Linked DNA regions of Cricetulus griseus. The protein of the gene in region 1 interacts with the protein of each later gene in a pairwise test. Links are inferred from orthologs where the notes say so. Each region holds a gene or a part of one and is shown on either strand. Other genes may lie near its edges.

Evidence for each region.
Region 2: the proteins of Ctnna1 (region 1) and Armc8 interact in a two-hybrid assay, tested with the Homo sapiens proteins (2 studies listed by BioGRID and IntAct). The link is inferred for Cricetulus griseus from reciprocal best matches to the Homo sapiens genes CTNNA1 and ARMC8.

Annotation. Positions count from the first base shown.
Region 1 is NC_048595.1:202,266,572-202,270,173, reverse strand, and holds part of Ctnna1 (catenin alpha-1), read left to right. Parts: intron 1-29; coding exon 30-230; intron 231-780; coding exon 781-932; intron 933-3,602. UniProt on the Homo sapiens protein: Associates with the cytoplasmic domain of a variety of cadherins. The association of catenins to cadherins produces a complex which is linked to the actin filament network, and which seems to be of primary importance for cadherins cell-adhesion properties.
Region 2 is NC_048597.1:207,972,435-207,976,468, reverse strand, and holds the start of Armc8 (armadillo repeat-containing protein 8), read left to right. Parts: upstream 1-1,185; 5' UTR 1,186-1,434; coding exon 1,435-1,479; intron 1,480-4,034. UniProt on the Homo sapiens protein: Component of the CTLH E3 ubiquitin-protein ligase complex that selectively accepts ubiquitin from UBE2H and mediates ubiquitination and subsequent proteasomal degradation of the transcription factor HBP1.

The DNA.
Region 1 (3,602 bases):
CTTCATTCAGCTTTTTGCTTATTCCTCAGAGAATCACATTTTGGAGGATGTGAACAAGTGTGTCATTGCTCTCCAAGAGAAAGATGTGGATGGGCTGGACCGCACTGCTGGCGCCATTCGGGGCCGGGCAGCTCGAGTCATCCATGTAGTCACCTCAGAGATGGACAACTATGAACCAGGAGTTTATACAGAAAAGGTTCTGGAAGCCACCAAGCTCCTCTCCAACACAGGTCTGAGAACTGTCTTCTGTCCTAGTGTTCTCCCTGGTCCTCACTATGGCTTGGCTCTGACATCATTCCACATCTTGTGGATTGTACAGAACTCAGCTCTGGTTTTACACACACTGGGTGGCTCATCTTACTAGTAAGAAGTTGGTTATTAGGCAGCTCATGAACACATAAGTCTTTAAGGTGGGTCCTTCCTCCTGAAGTGTTGGGGATTGAACCCAGAACCTCTTACATGCTGGCCAAGCACTCAGCTACTATCCCAACCTGTTGTAAGTCCCATTGTTAAGGTCTCAAGGTAGTGTCATTTCAAGTTCTCAGTCACTCAATCCTAGATCACAGAGTCTGGTGAGAAGATGGTTGAGTCCTTGCAAAATATTGTCTGTTAGTCACCTATAAACGCCAAGGTTTATTTTGCTGGTGAGTACTGGGCACAAGAGTAGAAACACAAAGATCTTTGTCATGAGCTTCACTCTTCTGCCTGTTCAAGGACTCAGGAAAATGTTGGTAGAGTGCTGTCTGCTTAGGGTGACCTGCCTGCCTCTTGTCTCCATAGTCATGCCACGGTTCACTGAGCAAGTGGAAGCAGCTGTGGAAGCCCTCAGCTCAGACCCAGCCCAGCCTATGGATGAGAATGAGTTTATTGATGCCTCCCGACTGGTTTACGATGGCATCCGGGACATCAGGAAAGCAGTGCTGATGATAAGGGTGAATAACTACATTCTAGACATTTCAACAGCTTCTTTCTTATCATTTGATAACTTGACCAGTGTGTCATTTTGAAACTCAGCAGATCCAGTGGCCCTGTAGTGAAACCACAGATCCAAGAGCTGGTAAAATGAGAAAGAACCCAAAAATGGATCGAAAAAAGAAAATAAGATGGGCTTGATGAATTAAGAATTAATTTAGGAAATTTAGTTCAATAAACATAGATTAGCTTGGGTTACAGGGGAAACTACAGGAAATAGTCTCTTTAATTTCAGAGAAGCAGCTTTTTCTTAAAATAGGTAAAGTTCCTGTACTCCTCTCCAGAAGAAACTTTCCTCTCCTTGAAGGGAAGCCCAGGCAGGAGGTTAGACTCTGTTCAGGATAAGGAGTGGATGCTCCATGGCTCATGGCCAAGTGCTGAGCCAAGTGGAAGTACTGCCTCTGAGTCTTTGTCACCCATCTCAGAAAAGGCAGCAGAAGGTCCTATGGAGTTGGGTGGGATGGGTCTCTGAAACTGCAGTTTCTTCCATCAAACATGTCTTGGGCCTGTGTCTCCCAAACTGCCTTTTCCGTCGCTGTGGATCTCTTGCATGTTGCTCTGTCTGTGTTCCACCCCCAGTTTGTTGCAGGCTTGCAGAAGGGGCATTTGGAATACATTGCCCACCTGCTGCATTGCTGGAGCTTTGACTGCTGTCGTGTAGTTCAGTCCACTGACTTTCATTAATACCCGCATGGTTTGGCTAGACAGGGGCCCTATCTACTTTCTTACCCCTCTTCCTAGACTGCAGAAGTTAACCGCAGTGCCAGTTGGAACCATGTTCAAGACTTGCTGCATCCATTTTGTATGCAGCATTGAAACACTTAGGAAGACCACCATTCTGTGCATGAAGCAGGACAGCTGCCCATCAGCCCCAAGCACACTGGGAAGAGGAATGGTTGTGGGTGGAGCTACAAGATAGCAGAGGCTTCAGTCTTTGAGTGGGCCGGAGATGCTTTAGTGGATGAAGGTGTCTGCCACCAAACCATGAGGCCCGTTTGACCCTCAGGACCATCTCCCACAGGTTGTTCTCTGAGTTCCACATGTACAAAATAGATTAAAATGCCACTAAAAAGGTATTTTTTAAAGTTAAGGCAGAAGAATCTATCTCCTATAGAGGCTGGTCTGAGTTAACCATGGCAGCCAGTGGCTATAATATGGTATTAGTGGGTCCCAAGGCTACATATACTCCAGGGAGGCACACAGTTCTGCTTGTGTGTCCTGAAGCCATGTTAAAGCCAATGGGATCAAAGCTATGTAGTGTTCCCTAGGAGGTGACTCAAACCTAGAATACCACTTTGAAGAAGCAGTCTGGGTACTGGGAAAGCTCATCCTGAGAGCAGGCAGGTACCTTAGATGCCTCCTCCAAAATAATTCCTCTGTCTGTTACATCATTTTCTTCTCTTTACTGGGGAGCTGGAGTGATGGTGGTTCAGTGGTTAAAAGCACTGGTACTCTTTTGAGAGTTTGGACACCCATGTGGTGCCTCAGAACCATCTGAAACTCAGTCCCAGGGGATCCCATGCCCTCTTCTGGCCTACAGGTATGCCATACATGAATGAGGCATAACTCTCATACACATACAATAATTGTTTTAAAAAGTAATGGCTTTATTGAATGAAAAATGGCAGTGTTTTCAGCACAGTTCACTGCCTCTGGCTTCTTTCTTTCTTTCTCTATATGATCATGTCCCCCTTTGGGGGCGGCAGGGCCACAACATACCTCTCAGCCCCTCTGTATATCAGTCTCCTTGTCAGGGAAGCCCTGGTCTCTTCTCTTTGCCTGCATTTCTTTGTAAAAATGCGCTTTCTTTAGAGGCTGATTTTGCTCGTTTTCATACTTAAGTAGCCAACCCAGCCTCTGAAGCCAGATTACTCAGTGGTTAACTCCCCTGATCAAACAGCAAGTTTGGTTGGTTTTATCTTCCCTTTCGGGAATATGAATGTGGTCCCTTAGCGCAGTGCATCTCAGTCAATTCGTGTTGTCTGCTGTTCCATACTCTCCTAAGGTTCCACACCACTTGTCCTCTGCTGATCTTCCCTTGGCTCAGAGTCACCTGAGCTGGGATCCAGCCAGTGAGCCAAATCACTCTTCTGTTACTTGCTACTTCCTCAGTCTACCAACACCAGTCCTCCCACAAGACCTGTCTTTCCCTGTTTCCCATCAGCAGGATGGCTCTCTGTTCATGGCTCTGGAGTAAGTCATATAGTTGACTCCTGGTGCTTCCTGTTAGAATAGGTGAGTGAGTGAACACCAGCAGTCTGCAGCTAGAGCTCAGAGGTTCTGAACAGGACTCTAGAGCCCCATGCTGACAGGATCTTTATGGCTCTGTGGTACCTTGTGATTCCTGCCCCCTACTGTTCTCACTTCTCTAGGGGTAGGCCCAACCTTTCCCTGTCAGAATACAAGCTCATGTCACTGAGTGCTTCCTACATGTTCTGTCATTTGATCCTCACAGCAAGGCCCTGGGCATGGCTTGGCTCAGGGCCCAGTGGAGAGGAGGTCTCACTGCCCTCCTGTCACAGACTGGTCGTCTGGGCCAAAAGCCAACCCCAGCTGTCTTGCCTGTCGTCCTTCCTGATAACTGTGTCAATCAGTAGCTAATCAGGAGAGGCTGGGGTTGTACAAAACAC
Region 2 (4,034 bases), on another chromosome or scaffold:
TTAAAGAGTGAAGTGTAGCTCACATAGCTATAGAGACTATGTGCAGTTACAATCTGCCTGGTTGTAGCAGGCATACTAGGACATGATTTTAGGAGCTAGGTAGATAGACATTTAATATTTGTATTTATGAATGGTAATGTATCCTAGAATAAAAAGGAACACAAAAAACTTGATTTCACAGACTACGATTTAGGGAAAAGCTAAAAAATTCAAAGATGTGGAAACTGGCTTTAAACAACGTTATTGGATGAATAATAACACCCGGCCGAACACTGGCAAACATTGTGTAGTTAGGATGCAAGCTACAGAATTTAGGAGAGAATATACTGTTACAGCAGGTTCTATTAAACTTCCAGTCTTCCAGAAGTGCAACATTTTGTAACAGACCTATAAGCAGGGGTGATAAATGATACAATGAATTTAGAAAGTACAGGTGGAAATGAGGAGAAAGATAGGCTTTTGCTCTAAGAGCACTGGGAAGCCTCTTGCTTTATCCCGAGGAACAGTAACAACCTAATTAGAGATGGCTTCACCTATCAGCGTGTTTTAGTACGCGATACTCAGATAGTTGACCAATTGTCCCCCTCCCCGCCACCCCTCCCCCATATGACTCAGAGGCTGGAAAAATGCTAACACATAGAGAGCACAAGGCTTTCCACATGCCGGGCTTGTTGTTTGGTTTATTGCCTCATTTATTCTCATCAGCCCTTATTTTACAGTCGGGAGAACTGAAATAAAAGGAGGCTAAGGAACCTGTCCAAGATAAAGGCGCTAACTAAAGTAGCAAGGATTAAACCCAGGCGTCTTGGCACTGGAGTGCTCGCTCATTCCGAACACTAAACCAGAATCCACGCGTGGGTCGGGCACACGACGTTAACGCAGGTCACGCTTGAGCGTTGAAGCGTGAAACCACCGTTCTCACTAGCGGCACGAGACCCGGTTTCGAGACCAGTTTCTCCAGCCCCAAGATGGGGACAGTACTGAGGCTCGGAGTTTGGTGCAGAGTGAGATAACGAATGTGAAAGTGAACTTCAAACTACGTCGGTAACTCCACCTACTAGCGATTAGGAAACAGAACCCGCAAACCGAAATTTACCAGTACCCAGAGCCCGAGTGAGGCTCCGCCCCCAGCAGGCGGAAGGTGGGGCAGGCGGGCCTTTGCGCATGCGGAGGCCTCTGGCCGCGCCCTCCTCTGACCCCAGCGAGAGTAGCTGCTGTTTCTGAGAGGACGATTCGTAAGCCGGGTTCGGCGCGGTTACCCATTCTTCTCCCTTCCGCCCGGTCCTTCGGTGCTCAAGCGACGCCCGGAGCCCGGTCGGTTCCGCGTAGCTCGTCTGGCTTTCCACAGAGGATCCGGCTGCTGGCCCCATAGGTGGCTGTCGAAAGTGCCGGCCGCGCGCCGGCGCCGGCAGCAGCCGGGTGGGAAGGCTCAAGATGGCGTGCCTGTTGGAGACCCCAATCCGCATGAGTGTCCTCTCGGTGAGTGACCCACCCGCTCGGCGCCCAGCAGCCCGGGCTCCGCCAACTCTGTGAGCCCGGCGCGGTGAGCTTCCCGAGCACCACCCCCTGCGGTGGCCGTAGGTGGGACACACGCGGCCCGGGCCGAGCCGGAGGCGTCTCACACTCGCGAGCTCCCACCGGTGCGGACTCCCGGGGCGGCGTCGGGCCGGCGGGGAGGTCGGGCTCTAGGCAGCCGGCCCATGGGCGCGGCTTGGGCTTGGCCGAGCGTTTCCCCTGCCTCCCTCTCTGCGCGGTTGCCTCTCCAGACCGAGCTCGCTGCCTGCTGAGGTTCAGGGCAGGCCTGGGACCGAGCGACCACTCCACTCTCCCGGGCTGTGGGTAGAAGAGGTGTGAGCTCTTCCGCTGCCACAGCACAGAGCTGCCAGGCTAGGGCTGTGTGTCTTCTGTCACGTCCCTACACCCAGGCACCTGCCAGAGCCGCTTGTTTCTCGGCAATGGATATATATAATATATATATATATATATATATATATATATATAATTCAAGCTGCTACTCTTGCTATATTGTGTGTGGTTATTTAAACCGCTTTGCTCTGTTCTGCTCCTGAGGTCGCGGCTCGGACACTAGAGAAACTATGTTGCTATTGCCCGGTGTTCATTTTTTTCCTTAGGGAGAACAAAACATTTTAGAAGGAGGAACCAAAAGGGGTAATTAAAAAAAAAAAACAAGATTAAATTTCCCCATTCCCCCATTCAAGAAGGGAACGTCTTGATACGCCAAGAAGTCATACCATTTCTTTTCTTCTTACGTTAAAAAGAAACAACAACAGCAACAAACCAACAAGAAGACGTTCACCTTCCACGATATTGTCCTTAAAAGAAAAGAACAGGAGCATCGATGAAATGAACAAGAATGAAAGTTGCAGGGGGATAACTTTGGAGGGTTTCACGACAGGTTTTAGCTGTTGCACGCCAAGTAGAGTTTACCAATGAATGATTCATTTGTTGTTGTTGGAAATAAAGAAGTATGCAGGCAAAGAGCGATTGATCATCCTTGAGACTTGTTGAAACTTACTGAGATGGTAGTTGGATTCTAAATGACTTGCTATGATTCCTACAGTCTTGCAACTCCAACCGGTTCCTTTTCTCGGCTCTGACCTCTTACACAAACACACTCACGTGTTCAAAGGCACCTAGTACATCACTCCAGGGTTAGAGCCATTCAATAGGCTGCTACCTACAGTTACAATACAGTGCAAAATGTAATTTTGGGAGGTGATCAACAGATCTATCCCTGGATCCATTTTACTCAACTGCTTACTTAAACTGCAACTAGAGAAATGCTGTTCACCCAGCTATTGAGCACATTAGCCTGTTAGTCCACTTACGATGTCCATGAATGTTTTGTGGGAGAACAGACCAGTGATCTCCCTAATTGAGTTAAAAGACAAGAAAGATGTATCCTAATGGTTCAGTTCTCTTTTGATTATGTCATCCTGATTTCAGATACCCTTTAGTTCATCTGAAAAACTTTTGGTTGCCCTCCCCCCCCCAACACACACACACACACACACACACACACACACTGAACCCAACCCTTTGAGCACCCTTGGTAAGGTGCTGTTCCAGAATACAGTCCTAGCTCCACCTGTTTTCTTTCTGTACATTATCAACTTGAATAGTGTAGATAATCAAAAACCTCATTTGTCTCACTTTCTTTGTAAATGATTATGTTCTGTTTATTTCACTCAAAAAAACTTCTTGAAGAATATTTTCCATTTTTGAGTTAGAATTTGCTTTAGCTCTAGTCTCATTTGGGAGCATAAACTAACTCAAAGGTCTAGTTTTCCAATTCGTTGGTCTTAGGGCAGAGCTTTGGAGAAACACTTTAAAATGTCTTGAGCTTAATGATCTTACAGGTTAAAGGAAAGACTTTGCCTTTCAAACAGCTAACTCAAGCACCATTTTAATATTAATTATTAATTAGAAGTTATTGTGATTAAGGAAGTGGCTCAGTGGGTAAATTCCTTGCTTCACAAGCATGAGGACTTGAGTTAGGATCCTCAGTACCTACATAAAAAGCCCCATATGTCAGTGCATGTTTGTAATGTCACTGCAATGTCAGTGCATGTCTGCAATGTCAGTGCATGTCTACAATGTCAGTACATGTCTGTAATGTCAGTACTGGGAGGCAGATCCTAGAGGCTTTCTAGCTAGTTGCTATAGTCAGAACTGGGAGCTTCAGGTTTAGTGAGAGACCCTGTCTCAAAAAGTAAGGTAGAAGCAGACAAAGATAACCGATGTTGACCTCTGACCTGTGATCCGGTGAGTGCATGCACACACGCGCGCGCGCACACACACACACACACACACACACACACTTGGGTGAATCTCTTCAATAAGCTACTTACTATATGCCTTTGATGTACAAAGCCCTGTGTTGTGTGTGTACTTTAGCAAATGCAAGGTTATCAGAAGTGCTCCAAAGGAGCTCATAGTCCTGATGACTCTGCAGTGTGATAACTGTAAGTTGCTGAATGGGAAATCAAATTGTTTTAAATTATTTCCATCTG